Linked DNA regions of Lepisosteus oculatus. The protein of the gene in region 1 purifies or fractionates together with the protein of each later gene. This does not show direct contact. Links are inferred from orthologs where the notes say so. Each region holds a gene or a part of one and is shown in the gene's direction. Other genes may lie near its edges.

What was found. Proteins that work in one complex are often made in the same cells at the same time.
Region 2: the proteins of gli3 (region 1) and F-box/WD repeat-containing protein 1A purify together in Homo sapiens (affinity purification with western blotting, with the first as the bait; 3 studies listed by BioGRID). This does not show direct contact. The link is inferred for Lepisosteus oculatus from reciprocal best matches to the Homo sapiens genes GLI3 and BTRC.

What each region holds. Positions count from the first base shown.
Region 1 is NC_090701.1:16,241,730-16,249,015, forward strand, and holds the start of gli3 (transcriptional activator GLI3), read left to right. Parts: upstream 1-4,279; 5' UTR 4,280-4,662; intron 4,663-7,286. UniProt on the Homo sapiens protein: Has a dual function as a transcriptional activator and a repressor of the sonic hedgehog (Shh) pathway, and plays a role in limb development.
Region 2 is NC_090699.1:35,670,877-35,677,954, forward strand, and holds the start of F-box/WD repeat-containing protein 1A, read left to right. Parts: upstream 1-4,067; 5' UTR 4,068-4,175; coding exon 4,176-4,220; intron 4,221-4,847; exon of another isoform or gene 4,848-4,887; intron 4,888-7,078. UniProt on the Homo sapiens protein: Substrate recognition component of a SCF (SKP1-CUL1-F-box protein) E3 ubiquitin-protein ligase complex which mediates the ubiquitination and subsequent proteasomal degradation of target proteins. Recognizes and binds to phosphorylated target proteins.

The sequences.
Region 1 (7,286 bases):
TGATACTATCTTTTTAATGTTTGCACTTTTATAGAGTATCATGTTTCATTCTGAACATTTATCTTGAATCTTTAGTCTGGTCCTCACCACTTTACTTTATTTTGATTTCTCGAAAATCTGGTTTTTGAAACCTGACACCTCACTGAATACAGCATTCCCACAGAACGCTAGCTATTCCTTTCCTAGAGGGAACTTTCTCTGCCCTCTGTCCTTATTCTTCCTGAGGACAAAACATTTGGGTCCATAATGAAGTCCGATCTATAAAAGTGATCAGGACCTTAACTGTTGTTTGAACTGATGTTTGAACCATGTGACAGACTGCAAAACATTTTCTGTTTGAACATGATAACTGCCAAAAGTGGACCAATCAATTCAAGTGACTGAAGCAACGAACAGCACAAAATCATACTTAAGAATACATTAGTTTTTAATAAATTTTAAATGATAGTATATAGTATATTCAAGAAAAGACAAAGATTCAGTAGGGATTTTGGTATAATTCATGTGTCTAAATGTATCTGCATAGTACTCACTCTTGTCTTGTAGTTTTTAAATGTTCAGTCCCCTGAAGCACTAAAGATGTTACATTATGTCCTACAAAGTGTTTAGTAACTGTCAACATCCATATCTGAGGGTCCAGTACTACTGTTATTATGCTGCTTATACAGTATCTTTCAGTGATTATTTTTTACAGCATAAAATCATCCTGCAAGAAAATGTAAGTACAGAAAGAAGAAAATTTGGGATTCCAAGCGATTTAAACCCTCACCCTTCAACTTTTTCTGAGGAGCAGAAATAAACTTTTTATTTTTGTGTATCACTCTGCATGCCATCTCTGCAGTTGAACACAAGCTCTGTGAGCTAACAAGCTAATCCCTAATATTTTCTCCTCTCTGAAATGTAACGCTTGATGCTGTTTGTAAGATTGATTTACTGATGGATCAACATATAATATATAATATTCCCACATGTTTTTTGCGCCTTTACATTTTAAGCTGTGACAAGAACCAGTTCTAAGTCTTTGAAATAGATGACATTTTGAAGATTATCTCACTGCAGATTCAATTCTCTTTTAATCCAATCATATTTGCTGTTCAGCAACCCTTTTCAAAGTGCTATTGGTGTTAAAAAATAGGATTTGCTCCCTTGATTCCAATATTTTGATGTTGAGGAAGGACAACTCACACATTAGTGACATTCTTTATTATTTCAATTGAAATAATTTAATAATTAGATAAAAATAACGTTATTAAATTTAAAAGGAATTCCTAATTTATATAAAAACACACATTTTCTGTATAAGTAGACACTTTGTATCAACTGATTTCTCATGAATGTCTTCATTTTGGAATGGCAGTCAGGTGGGATAGAGAATTTGAGGTCTTCTTAAACAAATGCACAGGAGAGTACTAGAACTGTATTCTATGCAAGATGTTTTTGCTCCTTCTTGACAGGACATTGAGAAATCCCTGGCCCATTTTTCAGAAACATTAAAGCCGGTGTGCGTGAAACAGGACTGTGGAATGAATATGAAAAATTCCCACTATCTATCCCAACAGCCTGTCAGAGAAATAGTTTGGACTCTCTGAGGAAGACTGCAGCAACAGAGGGTCGAGAGACTTTGCTAGCCTGAGTAAGTATTGGGATAAACTGATCTCTGGGAAATACCAGGTAGTAACAGCCATTGACAAGCTGAACTTGACTGAACTCAAGTAGAGGTGGATGATGTCACCTTCAGTATGCCCCTTCTTATGTCTTGCATGTCAGTTCCTAATACCCCAACTTCCCACATTGTTACTGCTTTGATCTTCTTGGACAGTGGAGGAAGCCTGCTTGTTAAGGGGGATAAATACTGTATGTGGACTGTATGTTCCCATTGAAACAAATGACAAAAGAGAGAGTGGCAGAGGAAAGTCCTGAAGCATCAGTAAATAGTATTAATCCTTCATTCTAGATGGGGGAAGATACTGCATGCAGGCAAAGATTATCTGACAAAAGCTATAAAGCTTTTTACACTTCCTTCTAGACTGCATCTTCTCTATATGAGTTCTTATTTTTTCCCTTTAATTTCATTAGTTGGGGAACTTTCTTAAATTCCAAAATAATACATAACCCTTAAAATTGCTCTTAAACAAAATGAATAAAAAAGAGGACTTAGATTTAAGAAAATATAAGATAGGTACAAAGGCAAGGAGGAAAAAAAAAGAGGACCTGAGATTCACAGTTTGTGAGAAACGTACCAGGCTAAATAGTGAATAATAGAAGACTAATGTATCAACAGACCCAAGCAATATTTAAAAGGAAATGAGTGATGCAAAGGCATATTTGTTCACATTTCAGATTTTGACAGTTACACATTTAATTTCACTTTGTTAATGTGTATTCTAGCACATTTCACGAGGAATGACAACGCCCCAAAATCAAAGCGTGGCGAACTATTGTGGAGTGAATATTTGACTCAACCCGCTTGGCTAAAGCCAACCTCCTGGCCATAGGACGAGGAGGTTAGGACCCCCACGCAGGGTGACCAAGGGGCAGCTGCAGAGGTGGGATGAAAAAGTCGCACGCAAGGGAGAGAGAGATAACGCATTTAGTAGTAATAGTGTTCGGTGGAGAAAGGACTAAGGGAGTGATTGCAAATTGCTGACAGCTCGGGATGATAGTGTGGTTGTTGTCACCCCTCCCGAACTTTAGTTTAATAAACTCCATTAGAGGATTTTAATGACCAGAATATTATTTAAGATGGAGAAGACTGAGTTTACTGGCTTGAAACTGACATATTTGCTTGACTAGGATATTCTTGAAATAGGTGGGGAATGTCGAATGACAGTGAGTACTGTAATATATTGACAGAAGAGCATGTATACTTCTCTGTTACAAAAGTAAAATTCTTCATGAACATATTTTGACTAGGTACTATGTAACATTTATTTTCTAGTGGATATGAAGTTATATTATACTGTTCTTCATCTAATACATAAATGTGAACTGGAACAAGGCATCAACATGTGCAGAGGTTAGTGTTGCTGCCTTGCAGTGCTGGGGCCCTGAGTTCAATTCTGAACTTGGGGTGCTGTCTGCATGGAGTTTTTATGTTTGCCCCGTGTTCATGTGGGTTTCCTCCAGGTGTTCCAGTTTCCTGCCACAGTCCAAAGACATACTGGGAGGTTAATTGGCTTCAGAGGAAATTGACCACAGTGTGAGTGTGTGTGTGTATATTTGTGCATGCAGTGTGATGGAATGGTGTCCATCCTTGTGCTTATTGCTTGCTGGGAAAGACCCTGGCTCCCACACAACACTATTGGATAAAGAGGTTAGAGAATGGATGAATGTTAGAAATGGACGGGTCACATGAAAATAATCTGAAACTATCCAGATAAAAACGAGCATTGAGGGAGTGGGGCAGCATGATCCTAGGTCCTTATGTGGGGAGTTTGCATGCTCTTCAAGGGGTCCTTTGGTTTTCTTATTGGTGCTCCGGTTTCCTTCACCTCCCATAGACATGGTGGCTAGTTTAATCTGAGTCTTAACTGTCCCCGTGTCTTTGTCCTGTGATGTGGGAGATCCTATCCAGTCCTGTCTTGCTCCCTATACTCCCTGAATAGGCTCCGGGTTGCTGTGACCCTTACCTGCCGCATGAGAAGTTTGCCAATAATGGAGGGACTTCATGATTCAGAAAGGATAGAAATGTGAAAAAATGTAGCTATCATGGTACAAAAGTATTTCTTAAATGTCACATTATTCTCACAGAATATTTTGCTTGAATTGTGGCTTTTGAATAGATTTCAAAATACTAGCATTCAGCTACACATTTTTGGGGGGTTTTTGCTTTACATTAAGTGGCTTTCCTTATCCTGAAATTTCTGTCGCTTACAAATGCTGTGAAGATTTGGAAGCTCATTTGTCCGTGTTATGGATTTTCATCATACATTCCCCGTGCTTCTTTGTAAACCGTTCTCTTTTTTACACCTTTAGCATCTTCGCCCTTCCAGTTATTTTATTTCCCAGCTTGTCAAAAACGTGGAGAGACATTATAACACGCAGCACAAGCCCTCCGCGCTATCACCAACCGATGAGGTTACTTTTTAAGTACACTAAGAAAGTGTACTGCTATTTTTCCCCCCCAGCGAGACCTCCAATTCGTACTCCACCACCTCTGTGGCTCTGAAGTCAGCGCTAAAAGAGTGGCACAAGAAATCCCAGTGCGGAGTGATCAAACCATCTCCGAGGCAGTGCTGTGATTGCTAAGAGGCGGCGGGATCGGGAGAGAGAGAGGGAGAGGGAAGAGAAAGAGAGTGCGATCCGAAGGGAGGAGTCGTGGAGCGGAGAGCAGCTGGAGTTGCCTCTTCTCAACTAAATTTACACTGAATACAGTAACACTCAACCACGAGATTAATACTTTCTCTCAGACAGACTGTAGTTTTTACAGGTATGTAGGCACTTTTTAAGAGGCTAGTTAGGTGCATACTGTTTAGTTTAGTGCAGAAAGGAGAAAAAAGTTTTCTTGTTGAGCGCTTTTCAGAAAGTGAAGCTTGAGAAAAAGAGCGCATGATTCTTGGCTAAGCGAAAACTGAAGAAACATCTGCAACCAGACAAAAAAAAAGATTCAATTGGGAAAAAAAAGATCCAAGAAGCAGCCTGGAAAAAGGAGCTTTCAGACACGTAAGTACAAGAAACTAAAAGAAGCGTGATGAATTTTGAGCTTCTTTTGAACTGCATAGCCCTGGCAGCTTATGAAAGTTTGAAAAAAAGAATGTCTGTTGCAGTCTGTCAGAGGGATCAAATTACAATTTAGTAAAAGTCTGCAAAATTTGCTGAAAAAATCCGAGACTGAGAAAAGTGAAAAAAAGATTCTTCTCGTTCTGCCACCTCTTAAAACAACACAAAAGATGAGCATTTAAAGCATGAAAGTTTAACATATTTAAATAATAACTTATTACTGAGATTCCTCTTTTTTGAAGGGGGTTGTCTAAGCAATGGAAAAGCGCTTGTTCTACCATTTTCAATACTGGCATTTTTGAAAAAATTCTAAACTTGTTGGATAGGCGATCTCTTTGCTTTTATTGTTTGCTGGTTACTGTAATCTGGTAGAAGTCTATGAAGCGCGTCGGAGGCAAGTGTAATTTATAAACTATTTCTGGCGATTAAACGAAACATTACTGTTTATTTTTTTATAAAAAGATACCGTATAAAGCTTACGATTCGTTGTTAATGCAACATTCGTGTGTGGTTTAAAAAACACAAAACTGTTTAATGAATGTAACGTGTGATTTAGAAATGTATTATAGAGTGCTGCATCCTCTCAACTTTTTAGTTTTTTTTTCCATTCGCGAAGAAGTGATCATTATCGATTGACTATACTCTGCTTATAACGTATTAATTCCTTTTTGCAGTGATGTAAAAAATACGACTGAACAGCAAAGCCAATGAAGTTAAGTGAGTCATATATAGAGATTTTATGGAATAGCTCTCAAAAACTACACATAAATTGCTTACACAAGAATTGGTGGTATCTTTTGCGAAACATTTTCCTACAGACTATTAACAATGAAGAGCTATAGCAATGCACTGTCGAATTTGTTTGTTCATCAAACTTTGCATTTAGTTTAAGCAGATTTCATTTAAAATGTGCATTTCGCCTTCTAGTTTGCTTTCAAATGGCAGCTTGCCATCACATGTGTGGAAATTTGTTTAAAACTTTCCCTTTTAGTTCTCTGCCAGCTCTTTCAAGGTTTTCACTGGTTGTGAGATTAAGTCTATTGGATTGGTAGATCATACACATTCGGTTTTCATTCAGATTCCCTTCAGACTATCCAAAGTGACAAGTTTCAGAGCACACATCAAACCAAAGGGGCCTAAATTCTGCCGTGTAGCGTTTTGTTGTGCAAGTATTTCACGCAAGTTCCTTACCTTCTGAATCTAAAAAAAGCCGAACAAAATAAGTGCTTAATGAGGCTTTGTTAATTTTTGTTAGTTTTAAACATGCCCCAAAAGTTGCATTTAATTAAAATTCCAATATATGACTTTTTTGAGAATTAATAGCCCAGTTATATTTTCTTCTCTATATCAAGGGCAGAAATCGTACGAGTTAAAAGGTGCATATTCAGATATTAGTATTAACTGTCACTTTATGAATAATTTACTAATTTTAAAAGTTCCATTACATATGGCGGCACAGGACAATTACTCTTAAAAGCAACAGCCATGTTAAAACTTTTCGATTGCAGATCTGTTGTTTAAAAACCGAACAACCCAAAAAATGTGTATTATGAATATGCTCAAAGAACAAAATAGTCTAAAATATTTTTCGGAAGATGACTTATTTGTCATGATTATATATAACAATTAAAATAATCTTGAATATATATTAATATTTAAGGTTATATTGTTTTTAAGACATGAGCAATATATTAATTGTGCGAGAATGTTTTCTGTGTATATAAGTCCCGTGAGTAGCACTCCAGTTTATTCATGTAAAATTATTTAAATACCCATCAAAATGTAGGTAATGACTGTTAAGCTCCCACATTTAATTATGTATTTTTTACCAAGTATTTAATAAAAATGGTGATTTCAACATTATGATTGTGTAAAAGAAGCACATGAAGTGGAATTTTGATCTGATTATTAAATATTATGTACTTATTTAAATCATATAAGGAAAAGGGCTGATATTTATATGTTGCTTATCCAGTGTATGGAAAAAATGATTTTTGAATTAAATTAGAATAATCGTTTTTTGACCAATAGAAGCTTGTTGGAATAAAACAATTTAATGTATCATTCTCGTTTTTAGAACAGTTGCTGAAAATGTTAGAAGGAACAATAGCATTTTTTACCTCCTCCCCAGAAAACCACCACAAAGGAAAAATATATATGGCACAAAAAAAGTTTATGAACTAACAATCTAAGATTTTTTTATTTTTTATAAATATGGTGTTAATGGCCAGTACACAAACACTCATTTCATCTATAGGGCATACAAGATGCATTTTTTTATTTTTGAGTATCAGGTGACAATAATTGGGACTTTATCTTAAAAACCATCTATTTTTGCATTTAGATATGCAGGGCTGTTGTGTACCAAGATGCAAGGGTGAACTGAAAGGTTTTCACATCCTTTGGAAAACCTTTTTGAGAGATTGGGAGTGCTTTTGGATTATTATTTTTTTCTTTAGGGAGCTGAAATAAATCACTACTTTTGGAATATTTAACTGCGCTTTTTAGCCAACAGCTCTGTGTATAAGAAAGCTTACTATTTAAAACCGATGCTCAAGAATTCTGGA
Region 2 (7,078 bases), on another chromosome or scaffold:
GGCCTTTTTATTTATTTTTTCACTAAAGTACTAAAGAAACGCAGGGCAGGCCTGCTTTTTCTGTGGCCTGGTATTAGTTAATTGTACATTTATGGCTGTATTTCCAACCATGGATAAAAACCAACTAGTTTGCAACATTCCCAAACTACACACTGCACATCCAATCACAGGACCATATCCTACATAGCCCTTTTCAACAGAATATTTGTAAAATATGTCATGTTCTTTTCTGTCCCTAAATCCTGGGAAGTAAAACAGTTTACACCAAGGGAATTGAGGGGAAAAAAAAGCAAAGGACCAGACATTTATTCCATCCTTTTTGTGTGTAGAAAGTATATGTATATAATTTACAATTCACTACTCATCTTTAATCTAAAGTATGGTATAAGACTCTATTATGTTAAATTATGCAAAACATAGCCCATGTGAAATTAGTTGAAAGGCTCATTTTCTGCTGGCTCCTGCGGTGAGGTGATTGCCTAACAAATTACATTTCAGTTCAAATTTACAATTCATCCATGAGAGCAAGAGAAAGATATTCTGAGCATCACAACTAGACACATGAAGCTGAGGACTGTCCACATTTATTTCCTCCTGGAAATTTACACCCCTGTATATATCCATGACTCATGGAGTTACAGACATACTGTATGTTATCCATTTTTTTTTCCTTTTATTTATATCCTTATATTTATATCCTTTTATTTCTTTATTTTCATGATGTTTTTTATTCTGCTTAGATTGCTATTTGCTGTGCTAGCTACCCTTTCCAGAAAAAATAACTTCAGATAGAACTTTTCTGAAAACATAATGCAATGAAGTCCAGTCTTGTACTGAATTAATGGAGCAATTCTGAACTTAATTATGAGTATCATACTTTAAATAATTCTGTCATCTAGAAATTGAGCAAAAATATACAGTAATTAAGGCAAACACTTCTCATCTTAGATATGACTGTAGAAAACATGTCCTGTTTCAAAATGTCCTAAGATTGGTGGGCCTTCTGGAAAACCCTTGTCTTCAAGAACCCGTCCTTACTGGGATAGTCACTTAATGGCAAAAACAAACATGTAGATAGAAACCCCAGCAGGTTGCTCCCACAACAAGGCACAAAACAAGTCAGGATGAATATAGCAGGAAGGGGAAGTTGATTCAAACTGGTCCTTTAAAGAATTCAAGAAACACTATATGTTTCACATTGGCACAGAATACCCTCCAGCTATGCATTGCTGCACTCTAGAATAAACTCGTAAGTACAGAAAAAAATGTATATTTTATACTTGGTGCTCATTGTGTTAAGAAAAAAAAAGCAGCCAGAAAAAAACTTCACTATTTGTCTGTTAAAAATTAATAGGCTGCTTGCCTATGCATATGATAAAGAGATCAGCTGTCAATTGAGTTATTGTATTTTTACAGTTCTTGGTCCATGAGTTCTCATTTCTATGCAAAGGAGCCATTAGTCATAGCTGTGTTCCCGCACAGTGTCTGCTGTACAATCGGATTCTTACAGAGGATGAATCTTCCAGTCCAGCAGCCTGGCAATAAATAATCCTTTCTTCTGCTGACATAAATCAAGAGAAATCATACACCTCATTTTGTTGATTCTTCTATAAATCTGTCAATTGTTCATGGGAGCTATGATTGCATATTCATGAACACTGTTGAAAAGTTTAATCATTTATTATTATTAACAATAATTAATGTGCACAAAGATTTATTTATAATTACTTTGTTTTGGAATATAGTTTAAATGACAAATGCAAGCTGGATATGCCCACAACATGGATCATAATAATGAAAAGGCAATAAAGGGAATAGTCCTTAATATCTATACTGCACCTATGAATAAGAAAAGAAGTAAAAGAAAGGATATATTACTAAAATATTACTAAATGTACTAAAGCATAGATTTAGCAAGAGAACAATGCTTTAATACCAACCTGAACAATCTACATCAATGTTACCACTGCAACCACAGCCATGCTTACTACTATAATACTAGAGCCTGTACTATTACAAATGATGGTCATTGTAACAATAATGCAGCTCTGACCTGGAAATCCTTGTCACTTCTTGACTTTCTCGGTGGTGACACGAGCTACTTGTGCTAGGATAGAGGATCAGATGGGCATACTATTTAAATGGTATACAACAGTTACGGCTTTAATTGTTAATGATACATTGGAAAAACATCTGAAAGGCTATTGATAAGAAGTGTTGAGGTACGGTCACACAGCGGCAACCCCAAACAACTAGAAACTATATGGACGATGGTTTGATCTGCTAGGAAGTTGTTTGGATTGGTATTTTGTTCTCTGATTTTATCTGTCAATAGTACATGAGCCTGTTGACAGTAATAAGACAGTTTCAAAACAGCAAGCCTAGAATCTGCGCATGAAATAATTTTATCTTATGATGTAGCAGAAATCTAGTCAAGGTGTTTGAATTTAAGACCCCATACATACTGTAGTTGCACACTGAAGAGCTCATACTGGCCTTGTCTCAGTGCCTGTCTGATTTTAGTCAAACTTTAAAAGTGGACTACCTTTATTTTGTAGCTTTGCCTTAAGCTGTCCCACTGGTCCTATTTTACCACCACAAAATTCCAGGACTGACTTACTAAGGTTCACGTTTGCTAAAATATCATATCAAATGTAATAAATTGTATTTATTTTCAGTAGAAACACAACCATAAATAGCAAAGTTTCCATACATTACTGGAAACCTTTCTTTCCAGGACACCAGAGTTGCAGCCACAGTGTATTAGCTGTGCTTTTAACATTATCATTGGGTTCAAATTCAGACATCTACTAATTAAAGCAATATACAGTACGACTAATAATAATAATGCAATTAATTGAACACCATCTTATGTACTATTCACCTAACTTCATGTAATATCTTTACTAATAACTGAAATTATAATAGTGCTATCACTGTAATGTCAAACTGTATATTTGGAGTTCCATCTATTCTTGATCAAGGAGCACCTTATTCCTAAGGGCTGCTTGGAGTTATCCTGAAAACAGTGCACAACGCAGTACTACTCTCTAGACTGGACACCAGTCTCAGAGCACAGACACACATTCACAGGTGCAGCTACAGTTTAAAGACAGCAATTAACCTGGCCACCATGTCTTTGGCAGGTGGGAGGAAACTAGAACACCCAGGAAAAGCAGACATTAAAATTGAGAGAGCATGAAACGAATCCGGGATACAAACGACGTGAAGCAATATTTTATGTGTTTTTTTTTAAATAACAATGAATTAAAATTAATAATAAAGCAATTTTACAGTTCATAATAATACAGCTTTAACATCGCACTTAGTATACAGCACATCATAAAAGCATATTATGGCATACCATAGCAGAACCAGATCAAAAGAGCATTGCAGCATAGAACAAGAATCCATGGAGAATAAAAGTAGAAATTAAAATAAAGAATGGTTAAATGACCGGAAAACCTAATCCGTATACGATACTACGCAGACGTTCAGAATGGAATTTGCACATTAACTATTCACTTCTTGGGTAGTTATCAATACACGTATTTATTATGTAATCAGTACACATGATAGAATATACACATGTGCTGTGCTGTCATATATAACACCACTGGATAATTCCACGATTGTGTCCACTTCTATATATGACAAACTGGATATGGCCAAACCAGTGTTTAATGTTTCTTTTTTTAATTGTTCCATATTAAATCAAATATCGCTTGTATGTAAAACACGAGACATACTACAATAGCAGAATTATCGCATTTCAGCTTTAAAAAAAAATAATATTAGATTAAAATATGTATCCAGTTATTATACTAAATGCGTAACTAACCGACAAAACAAAAGATCGAAAAACTACACATCCCAGAGTAACGCACTCGCTTAGTGGGATTTGTAGTACGTAAAGGCTTATTGTAAATAAAACAGGAACTACCAGAATGCATCAAAGGCTTTTATAGCGCAACTGGGACTTGTAGTGTTTGAGATATGAGCATACACAATATTTAGGGTTGAAGAAACTTCAAACCCCACAATTCTGTTTCAGCCGTGCAGCCTGGGCCGCTGGGGGGTGAGTGCCGTGGAACGGATTTTCCTGTCTGCAGCAGCGGCAGTGGAGAGACGCAGGTCCCGGGGCTGAGAGAGAACCAGTCCCGGACAGACTGACGATGGAACCAGAGACGGTACTGCAAGAGAAGGCTCTGAAGTTTATGGTGAGGAGATGACAGGGCAAAGTCGGTTTCTGACACTCGACAGAACCCAAATGAGATGAAGGTTTGGGCTTGTCCATAGCGGTTTGTGCTGGAAATGAATGTACCGGTGGGTCAAGCCGCCATCTTGGACTATGATAAATAAACAGACAAAATAAACTTACGTTTATTTATTGAAAAAAATCCGTAAGCTAAATGAGATCTTTTCAGGGAAGAGAATATAATGAATATTATGTGTTGGTGTGTTGATCTTGATAGTTGTTTGCTTGAAGTAATCGATGTGTTTTTCTGCCCAGTGGATGTTTAGCTTTGGCCTGTGTTTACATTATGCTTGATTCGGTGCGCTTGAATTTATGTTACGTCAACTAATATTTGTATCAATTTTATTGAAGTGTACTTTAATTGAGGTGTAGACTATACTCTTATATTAGCTTTTTAGATGTTGGATATAGTGTCTTTCATATAGGCCATTTTTGTTAGGTTTTACTGGTGGATGTATTTCATATTTTTCCTTGACGTGTCCTGTGTTGTGTTTCAGCACAAGTGGTCACGTATAATTAAGTCTTAATGTTGTCTGTGTTGAATATAAACTACAGATACGCTCTTTTAATTGATGGTTTTGTCCTTCAGATATCTTGAACAGTGAGGTTTCATCTTGAAATAATTACAGGTTAGTGTGGATTATATTGAATTCTGACATAAAATGAGAATTCAATGTAATTCAGAATTGTAATCCACACCACACTTCAAAAGACTGCCAACACTTAAATACTTACCTTTGGTATTAAAGAGTAGTTCAATGCACAGATTTGGCTTTGCAAGTGGGCTTACCCCTTTAAAAAACAAATATTATTCATATTCATAGTCTAAATAAACATTATTTATATGTATAGTGTAAATATAAGATATTTGCATATGTGATATGGTTTAAGGTACATTAACTTGGCATGCACCACTAAAAATATTAATTCCCAGATTTTGTAGACTTTGTAAGAGGTTTCTTTTCATCTCAGTAGTGTTTGTATTTATATTGAGTTCTTCTGACTCAGACTGAGTATTTACAGTACTGAATTCTCACTTGTCAGGTTCAGTCCACAACTCATTACAGCTGTGTTTGTTTGCCCTATTGTTGGATGGTCCTCTCAGGCTTCCAGGCAACATTACTGGACACTTATTGTTATTGTTCTGCTTGTTTTATTCATCTACCAACATTTCCAAATGTGTAGAAAATCATTATTGTTTAACAAAAATGAATGAACTTTCAAAGGATTGTGATGGCCTATCAGAAATTGTTTTGGTGAAAGTGAGACTGAGAAGTCACAATGTCTGGCTGCCCAATGGCTTGCACAGTGTGAGATGTGCAATAAATGTTTGACATCTTTCAAACGGTTTGGCCTACTGGAATGAGATTTGGTATAACTACATAAGTCAGGCCAGGTTCCCTTCTCAAGGTTGTTCAGGTTGCTACATTCAAGAACATGGTCACTGTAAAATCAGCTGCTTGTGAAAAACGTTTCTTCAGAAACATTGGGTAAGTGCAAATCTGATAAACATTGTCAGGATGATTATAATTTGGTTAGAACAGCACTCCTGTCTTAGCCTTCTTGACTTTCTGAATATTATTTAGTTGTCTTGTCAAAACACAGACTGTTTCTGAGCAAACACTTGGGCATTTAATTCAGTAGACTCAGTAGATGTTACTGGCCCACGAATACAGTTAACATGCTGAAAGCAGGTTCTCATTTAAACCAAGATGGCTGCCTGACCGCCATTTTGTTTTCCAACATCAGCATACTGTTTTGTCAATAAAGAATTGTCATTTTTTTCCTGAAGCTTGGAAACCGTCTCTTTCTGGGGGAAATGCTGCACAGATTGAATTGAAACATGACATGGTTTATTACGCTGACATCTCCTTCAGTCTTGCACCTAGTGCATTGCAGCAGTAGTTCATCACCTGTTTGGTGAATTGGTGCCTTGTAGTGCTGTTTTTCTTCCAAGAATTTGCCAGTGAAAACCTGTTGTATATCATTGTAATGACGTTGCTGTTAAGAGTATAGCAAATTAGGATCCCTTCATACATCAGGATGCCAATTACTTTGTTGTTTTGTTGGTGTGTGTCCTGTACCACAGATTGTACTATTGGCCATTTAACTCCAATTCTGGTAGACATTTCTCAGATGGCAGTGTTTAATTTTTGGAATGTGGGATCCTTGTAGAAACCAAATTACTTGCCTAGCTTCCATTTTTTTCTGGATCTTTAAAATTGCCTGTCTTGGGGGAGCTCTGTGCTAATTGAAATTTAGCCTGTCTTATTTACATGTAAACCAGCTTCAGACTGCTTTGTTGAGGTTTTGGTTTATATGCCCACGCCAGGTATTCGTGTCCTTGGTGAATCATGTCCTGTAACAAAAACATCTTAGTATGTATCATTCTAGTGGCTGCATAATTATGATAATGCAGAATGCCATTTCTCTGCAAGCCATGGTTCGAAATTTCCTTTTGATATTTTTAAGTGGAGTATACTGCATACTGCTGCTGTCGAAAACTTGTATTTTATGACATGGGGGCTAGCTTGAAAGCCTGTCAAGCTGAATGTGGTTTTGTAATTGTATTTTCCTTGAGAACTCAGTCTATTGATGGTACAGTTAGTGTCTGATACAATATCATCTTTAAGGCATAAGCCAAAAATGAACCAGCACCTTATTGACAAAAACAATAATTTCACAGTACAGTGTACTTCTAATGTGCAGTGCTGCCTCTTGTATCCAGTCTGTACTTTTCAATTGCTGTCCGATTTCTGAGAAGTTGTAATTTATTATGCAGTACATAACAGAAATACACCACTTTAGTCGTGCTGATGT